Linked DNA regions of Callithrix jacchus. The protein of the gene in region 1 interacts with the protein of each later gene in a biochemical or structural test. Links are inferred from orthologs where the notes say so. Each region holds a gene or a part of one and is shown on either strand. Other genes may lie near its edges.

Region 1 (4,251 bases):
AAGCTATTTAAGCTATTTTTCTCTAACATAGGGAAACATCTCAAGAATAAGAGACGGAAGTTCTCTACTTTGCTGAAGCTTTCAGACTAGCAGAGAAAACAAATAATAAACAGATACTGCAAAGATAGGATGGTTGGAGAAGGCAGTGATATTTGAGGGTTGAGAGAGACAACCAAAAGTCAGGGGAAGAAGAGGGAGGCAGAGCAAAGAAAGTTCAAGGCCTTGGCTCACACCTTGTAAACCCAGCACTTTGGGAGGCTGAAGCTGGCTGATAACTTGCATCCAGGAGTCCGAGACCGGCCTGGGCAACCCAGCAAAACCGTGTCTCTACAAAAAAATAAAAAATTACCCAGGCACAGTGGTATGTGCCTGTGGTCCCAGCTACTCAGGAGGCAGAGGTGGGAGAATTGCCGGGAGGTCGCGGCTGCAGTGAGCTGAGATCATGCCACTACACTTCAGCCTGGGTGAAAGAGCAAGACTGTCTAAAACAAACAAACAAACAAAAATCAGCGGCTGTAGTTGGGGGAAAGATTGTAAGTCATGTGACCCATGTGGCTACGGCAAGGGACACTGGGGTGTAGGTAGAGTTAAGAAGAGCGGTATTCAGTTCTCACGTCACGTCGGACTGAATACAGGCCAGGGGGAATGAGAGGCTATCCATTCCTCTGATCTGGGGCAAGTCACCAGCCCTTTCAGAGAAGCCTCCTCTGAAAATAGGAGGATAATACCTTGCTTTACAAGGTTGCAGGGATCAAAATAACTGGCAGTGGGCTGGGCGCGGCGGCTCACGCCTGTAATCCTAGCACTCTGGGAGGCTGAGGCAGGTGGATCACTAGCTTGAAGTCAGGAGTTGAGACCAGCCTGGGCAAAATGGCAAAACTCCTTCTCTGCTAAAAATACAAAAATTAGCCTGGCGTGGTGGCAGGTACCAGTGATCTCAGCTACTTGGGAGGCTGAGGTAGGAGGACGCTTGAACCCAAGAGGTAGACGTTGTAGTGAGCTGAAATCGAGCCATTGCACTCCAGCCTGGGCAACAGAGTGAGACTGTGTCTCAGAAAAACAAACAAATAAGAAAGAAGTGGTAGTGGAAGCTCTTTGCAAACTACCATTACCAGTATTATTACAAACACAATCATTGGGAAAAGATGCAGAGTATAGCCCGGAACTCTAGCGGCGCCGACCCACACGTGCTCGACAGGCGGGCGGAGCCAGGGCAGTCCAGGCACCGCCTGGACCCGCCCCAGCCTCTTCCCCTTCCCTGTTCCTCCCACTTCCGCGGGCACCCGACTGTGCGTCTCCTGCGCGCTGACGTCAAGTGCGTGCCCCTGTCCGGCAGCCGAGGAGACCCCGCGCAGTGCTGCCAACGCCCCGGTGGAGAAGCTGAGGTGAGTGCGGGGCCCGAGGGTCCCCGCGGGAGCGGCTCCCCCACCTTCCCGTCCCCGCTGTCCCTGTCCTCTCCCAGTTTTCGGGGACACCTGGTCTGCGAAATCTCGGGACGCCTGGGAGCGCGGGTCGCGGGGAAGTGCCCGGCTCGAGCTGCGTCCTCCGGGCGGGCGGGAGTCCGCGTTCTGTGGGGGACCCGGGGCGGGGGTCGCGGCCGGGGAGGCGGTGGGCGCCCACCCGTGGTGGGGCGCGCGGCCGGGGCTCGGGGCGCGAGCGGGGCCGGGCTGTCACCGGCAGGGGCGGAAGGAAGGGGTCACACCCATCCCGGGCGCCCGGGCTCCCTTCCCCCCAGCCCGGCCCCGCGGGCTCCTGAGGGTGGCAGGGGCCCGGGTGCCGGGGGCCTCGGAGCGACTCGCGGGCGCCTGAGGCGGGCCGGGCGCCGGTCCCCGGTCCCCACAGGCTGGGTTTTGTGCCTTGCGCTCCAGCCCGACTTCCTGCTTCGCCGGGCGCAGCCGCGGACATTTTGCGGCACGGGGGGAGGGGAGCGGCGTTGCGGCCGCAGCGGGGCGGTGTCGGGAGGGCGGCTCGCGGGCTGCCCGCTGCGGTGCCTGTCGGCGCTCCCCTCCGCTCGGGTCGCGTCGTCCGGGCCGGGTGGCGCCGAGCCGCGAGCTGCTCTGTTCCTGCCTGAGGTCGAGTTCCTAGCATTTCCGTCCTCTTCTCCAGCCCGCTCCCTACCGATTCAGCTGAAGCTTCCCTTTCGGGGAGTTACTTAACCACCTCCCGAAACCGTCGTTCTGCTGCTTGCTTAATTCCTCTTACTGGGGGGAAATTTTCTTTGTTCGTTTGTTTTTCCTCCCCTTTAAGTCTTAAGAGAAATGCAGTGTGGAAGATTACGTCATCGCAGTATAAGAAGTGAGACTTAACTCCTACAAGTCAGGGACTTACAAATTGATACCGCATTTTGCAGCTTTAGTCGGTCACCCCTTGGCTTATTCTGCCTGCTTCCCAACGCATCGTAATCAGATGATGTTTTGAAACCTTGTTACTGTGGTCATGGTCGCCTTCAATGCACCTAAAAGCCAGGAAGTAAACCCCAGGATTAGCTTGTGTCAGGGAATAAAGTATAAGACAAGCTGCTTGCGTGGGCATTAACTTTAAATTGAGGTCCCTTTGACTATACTAGAATGAAGTGGTTTTATTTGTGGGAACACTTTTTCGGTCCAACATGACTTTCCCAGACTGTTTGGCTTCTTTATGACTTACTGCATGCCGAGAACCTCCCTAGTTGATTCAAGTGCACTTTTTGTGGTGCAGGTGTGTTGAAAAGAGGATCAGTTTCCGCCTGGTCTGTTAGACATTTTAGTTTTGTTATTAAAAACGAGACTTGGATTTTTAAGCAAAAAACTTAATGTTTTCATACTTTTGAGATCACAATTTTTTTTTTTTTTTTTTTGAGAAAAGGTCTCAAAGACGTTACTAAATACAATGGATATTGCACTTCCAGGCTAGAGTGCAGCCCACCTCAGTCTCCGCCTCTCGTGCTCTAGTGATCCTCCCACCTCAGCCTTTCGAGTAGCTGGTACTATAGGCATGTGCCACCACGCCCGGCTAATTGTGTGTGTGTGTTTTGCCATCTTGCCCAGGCTGGTCTGTAACTCCTAGGGTCAAGCAGAGATCATAATTTTTCTTTCCCTAAGCATTTATATCCTAAATTTTATATCCTTCCGCGATTACAATAGTAACACAGAAAAATGTTAACACTGTAAAGCAAATGAGATCCAATTGTGTAATGCATTGTTGTAAAGATAGTTCATGTCGAAACAAGTGCTTTCCCACTGTTTATCATTTCTATAGAGAGAACAGATTGTTAAACAAAAGGAGTGTTGGTTCAAGGCAGCTTTCTGTAGTGTGTAGGCATTACAGACCATGGGATAGGTGTGGAACTTGGATCTTCTGAAATACATTTGTTAGCCTTGATGTGATATTTTAGGAATATAACATTGGAACGCATCTACTACCTTATTTTCTTGAGCTTGCTATATTTTAGAATTTTAAATAATACCAATTTTTGTCTTTCCTTTTAGAAAATAACCTTGGTTTGGATGTATAGTTTGGATGTATAGTTTTTATACTGAGATGGAGATAAGAGACTGATAATCAACTGAATATTAAATGAGCTTGTTTTCAGTAATTTCTAAAAGACCCAAAAGGTATTACATCCTCTATTTTCCCTTAAAATGTTTTCAGATTACAACCAACACCTGTTCTTATTAAACTTAATTTTTTTGAGATTCTAAGGCAGATGCTATAGCCTAGAGTAGTATGGGGACCTAAATAACAAATTGGTTGAGTTTTTTGTTTTTTTTGTTTTTGTTTTTTTTTTCAAGATAGGGTTTACTCTGTTGTCCAGGCTGGAGTGCAATGGTGTGATCACAGCTCACTGCAACCTCGGCCTTCTAGGCTCAATCCTTTCACCTCAGCCTCTGCAGTAGCTGGGACTACTGCTGCATGCAACCAGGCCTGACTACTTCTTGTATTTTTTTTGTTGAGATAGTGTTTTGTCATATTGCCAGGCTGGTCTGGAATGCCTGTACTCAAGCTATCTGCTCCTGTTGGCCTCTGAAAGTGCTGGGATATAGGCATGAGCTGCTGTGCTGTGGACAGGCTTTCTTGGAAGTAAAAGACAAGTTGTACTTTTATTTATAGATATGTTTTAAATGCACTTCTCTATTTTAGTTTGTCTTTTTTTTTTTGAGAGGATGAGAAACACTTAATGAGCACCTTAGGCTGCAGGGCTTCCTTTGAAGGGGGGGAGAATGGGGTTAAATATTGTGTTAACATATTTTCCCTAAACCCTCTGTATTAAAG
Region 2 (4,399 bases), on another chromosome or scaffold:
CCATTGTAATTTTCTCTGGTCTGACAATAAGTGAGTCTCTGCTTCACTGTGTCCCAAGGCCACTCCCTAGAGCTGGCTTTCTGGAGGACCATTTAATTGAGTCTATTTGAATCTTACTCAAGTCTAGCAGCTTATAAGTACCAGACCGAATTTAGCAGGATTCGGAATGGTAAGGACTGCATGTGAAATGACTTCTCTAATTCAGCAGTAAGGAGAGTGGACAGGAGTCTCGGTGGGCAACCACTCCGGGGTTGACGTCCTTCTTTCCATGGGGACTCTAGGGACAAGGCTTGATGTAGCTGTGGATTGCTCTCCTGTTTCCTAGAAAGCTTACAGGGCAGCAGGAAGAAACGGGTTAGCTATGTCTTTACTGGTAGAGCTGAGCTTCGGGTGCCATCTCTGCCATGTGTTCGGCATCTGATCGGTAAAACGGGGACCATGATGGGAGGTGAGGCAGTAGACAGCTCTTCGTGAGGTTCCTGCTGGTTGCTGTTATCACGGAGAGCACATTGTCCTCGTAATCCAGAATTCATACTGCCACTTGAATAGTTTGTGTATTTGCAAAGAAAATTTTAAACACTTAACTCAAGGCTAGAAATAAATGCAGTTAGTTATTGCAAGAGAAAACCACCGGCAGAGGCAGAGGGAGACGACCTAAGCCTCTGATTATTTTTGGAAGCTTTATGTGCTTTCTGGCCTCTGCCACTGAATGGATTAATGGATGTGCCTGGCATAGAGTAAGCGCTTTGCTTGTTCAACTGCCCGCGGGTCGCAGCGAGCAAACTGGGGAGAGCGCTCAGGGGCAGTGGGTGGAGTGAGTGGAGACGCGCGTCCTTTTAAGAAAAGGCTCCATTTGTTCCTCGCGTGGAAATGTGTGCGTGTCATCAGGTGCTCGAGGAAGCTCGCGCATGACCCGACAGCTGCCGTCTGGGATCTCCAGGTTCGGCCTGGCGCGTTCACAGCGCGGTCTCCAGCCCTGCTCTTCCGTGACGCTGCGCCCCCCGACTCGCAGCCCTGACCGACCCGGCCCTTCGCACAGCCCTGCTTCAGGCCGCCCATTCTCCTTGACCTTCCCCCAGCAGGGTCTGAGGCGTCGCCGCCCGTTTCGAGCGGGGTCACGCAGGCCCCTTCCCGGCCTGGAAGGTCAGCGCCGCGCGCTGAGCGTCAGTCCCCGCTCAACCCCCGCTCCAAACCCCGCCGGCCGCAGATGTCATCCTCATCCGTGCTCCGCAGTGACCGGAGGGAGCGAAGGGAAACAAACCAACGTCTCGTTTTCAGCCTCTCCCCGCCACCGTGACACAAAACCGGCAAAAATAAAAAGAGCATTCTGGGAAGCACTTCATCATTTCAACGCTCACGAATTCAAAACATAAACAAAGGGCTCCCGGGGCCCCGGCCGGGGGCGCGGGGCGCGGGGCGCGCGGCGGGCCCGGGGCAGGTGAGCGCAGGTGCGCGCCCGCCCCCGCCCGGGGCCCCCGGCTCCTTCTCCCCGCGCCCTGCGCCCCACGCTCCGCTCCCCCTTCCCCGCCCGCTCCCCGCTGCCGCCGCCGCCGCCGCCCCGCGCACGGCCTGGAGCGGAGGCTGCGCAGGGCGCGGGGCGGCGCGGGCCGGGCGCGGGCCGGGCGGACGGCCGCGTCTTTCTTCTCCTGGCGGTGATGTCATTGGGCGACGGCGGCCGAGGCCGGGGGGCGGCGGCGGGCGCCCGCAGGTTCCTGAGCCGCTCCTGAGAAGGCGCCTGACCGTGGGCCGGGGCGCACGGAGGAGCGGGCCGGGCCGGGCCGGAGCTGCTGGGCCGCGCCGAGCCGATCGCCGGCGCCGGCCGCTCCATGGGCGAGGAGGCGGCGGCGGCGGCGGGGGCGGTGGGGGCCGCGGGCCGGGCAGCCGCTCCGAGGTGAAGCAGGCGCGCGCCCCTCCCCGCCCGCCCGCCTCCCGGGCCGCCGCGATGAATTCCGCGGAGCAGACCGTTACGTGGCTCATCACCCTGGGGGTGCTGGAGTCGCCCAAAAAAACCATCGCGGACCCGGAGGGCTTTCTGCAGGCGTCGCTGAAGGATGGGGTGGTCCTCTGCAGGCTGCTGGAGCGCCTGCTGCCCGGGACCATCGAGAAAGTAAGTCCTCGCCCGCGCCCCCCGGCCCGGCCCGCTGCGGCCCGGGATGCGCGCGGAGCACCTGGGGCCGGCCGCGCTCGGGGGACCGCGCGCCCTCCTTTGTGCGCGGAGCGGCGGCGCGGCCGGCGCCAGGACCGTGGCGGGAGCTCCGGGGGCGCCATTGTGAGCGGGGCTGGGTAGGGGGCGGGAGGAGGGGCGCGGGCGGTGGGGGTCCGAACGCCGAGTGGCCCCTCCGCGCTGGAGGTGGGCTCCGCTGCCTCGCCGCGGCCCGGTCGGAACCGCGTTCCGACGCCGTGCGGCTCTGTCCGCTGGCTTTGTGTGGACAGTTCTTGCCGGTGGCGTTGCGTGTTTCGCCTCCCGGTGAATGGACCGGTTGCTCTGCATTTTTAAAGATGCTCGCATCTGCGGCTGAGGGCTGCGCTGGGAAATGATGTACTTACTTTCCCCTGGAGAAAATTACCCCCATCCGAGAGGACGGCAGACACAGGGTTTAAGCCCCGGCACTCTGCAAGGCTTGTTTAAAATTTCAGATTTCGTTCTCAGGTCCCTCCCTGGTTCTGAATAGAACCCAGAGTCCTGCAGGCACTGCCTCTCCCTCCCCTCTGGTAGTTCCCAGACTGGAGCGTGTGAACCCTGACCCGAATTTCTGGAAGTGATTAAAGTTTGTTTTCATCGCCCACAAACCGGCCAGCAGGGCCCAGGAGACAGGAGAGCTTCTAAAAACGAGGTCTCCCTGTAGCTCAAAATACCAATCTTATTCCCAGGGTTTTTTTTTTTTTTTTTTTTTTGGAGGAGGGGAGGGTGGTGGGTGGCCAATACACAGCGTTCAGATCAACAATTATTTAAAATGTGTTAAATACAGAAACTGAAGAGTACCACAACTAGGAAGAACGACTTAAGTTTCTAAGTGGGGTGTATTGGCCCCCATACAGCATGACAACTTGTAAATAAAATGCCACCTAAGTGACTTGAAAAGTAAAATGTTTAATCTTATACACGTGCGCATGTTCTGCTGCTACATTTTAAATGAGGTCAGAAAACATTAAATGTGAATTTGGCTTACATTCCAGTTTTAGGTATTTTTCTTACTTGGCACATTTTTATGAAGACGGAATCTGCATATTAGAGTGTCCATGAAATAAAAACGTTCCTTTAAAATGAACCTGATGTCACAGTGACATGATGATTTAAGACAGGAGGACTAAGGAGCAGGATCTGACTTTCAAGGCATTCAAAATACTTTGTTGTTTGGAGACTGGTACCTCTGGTAATACAAGACAGATGTCGAAAAGTGTTGAAATACATGCTAAGTTCGCCAAAATAGGCTTGAATAAAATCCTGTATCATCTCTGAAAGCAAAGCTTTGAGAAACTTCATATGCCGTGTTGATAAAAACGTGTCGCCATCAAAGAATGTGGTGTTTGGCATATTAACTGCATTAATAGTGATTGACAGGCTTCAATAATCATTTTCTTCTGAATTCTAGAAAGATTTTCCTAGAAAACTGTAGCATTCATTTCAACTCTAAAACAACGGAGAGAGGAATGAATAAAATGTTGAGCTTGCAGAAGCCAACTTAAAACAACTCAACATATTCTAAAACTGCAGTCATTTGGAAATGTCTTAGGTCAAATATGTTTTTCATTCCCCCCCAAGCTCCAGTTGGTTTGTTTTAAACTGACTCTGTCACAGTGAAAGTTTAATGTAAAGCAGCATATTGTAGACACAGTTGCTGGTTCTCTGGAATTCAAAGGTAGGTTTTTGGAGCAAAATAGCCATTTCTGTCTCTAAGATCCCTGCGTTTCAGAAGTTTTGTGAGCTTTTTCCATTTCCCAGGAGAGTTATCTGGGTTTTTTCTTTCTTTCCTTTCTTTCTTTCTTTTTTAAATAGAGATGGGGTCTTGCTATGTTGGTCAGGCTGGTCTTGAACTCCTGGCCTCAAGCAATTGTGTCCCATTTTGGCCTCCCAAAATGCTGGGATTATAGCCATGAGCAGTCATGCCCAGCCAGTTATCTGGGTTTTTGATGTTTGCATGCTTACCAGATAATCTATGCCACAAAGCATACATGCTGAATAATTTTTACTTAAATGTGGGAGTGTGAATCTGAGGATGTTTTTCCTTAAAAAGAAGCATTTGGATACTTAACCAAATATTCATGTGGATGTGCAGGGCTTCACTTGACCTCTGCGGCAGGGGTGCACGGACAGCCAGTGAGCAGAAGGCAAGTGGCCTGCAGCCTTCGCCTCTGCAAGCTCATAAGCTGGCCTGAGCCACGAGGCTGGGGATGAGTG

Evidence for each region.
Region 2: the proteins of CDC42 (region 1) and ARHGEF7 form a complex in vitro, tested with the Homo sapiens proteins (2 studies listed by BioGRID). The link is inferred for Callithrix jacchus from reciprocal best matches to the Homo sapiens genes CDC42 and ARHGEF7.

The regions. Positions count from the first base shown.
Region 1 is NC_133508.1:58,817,294-58,821,544, forward strand, and holds the start of CDC42 (cell division control protein 42 homolog), read left to right. Parts: upstream 1-1,334; 5' UTR 1,335-1,385; intron 1,386-4,251. UniProt on the Homo sapiens protein: Plasma membrane-associated small GTPase which cycles between an active GTP-bound and an inactive GDP-bound state. In active state binds to a variety of effector proteins to regulate cellular responses. Involved in epithelial cell polarization processes.
Region 2 is NC_133502.1:26,672,599-26,676,997, forward strand, and holds the start of ARHGEF7 (rho guanine nucleotide exchange factor 7), read left to right. Parts: upstream 1-1,576; 5' UTR 1,577-1,942; coding exon 1,943-2,107; intron 2,108-4,399. UniProt on the Homo sapiens protein: Acts as a RAC1 guanine nucleotide exchange factor (GEF) and can induce membrane ruffling. Functions in cell migration, attachment and cell spreading. Promotes targeting of RAC1 to focal adhesions. May function as a positive regulator of apoptosis.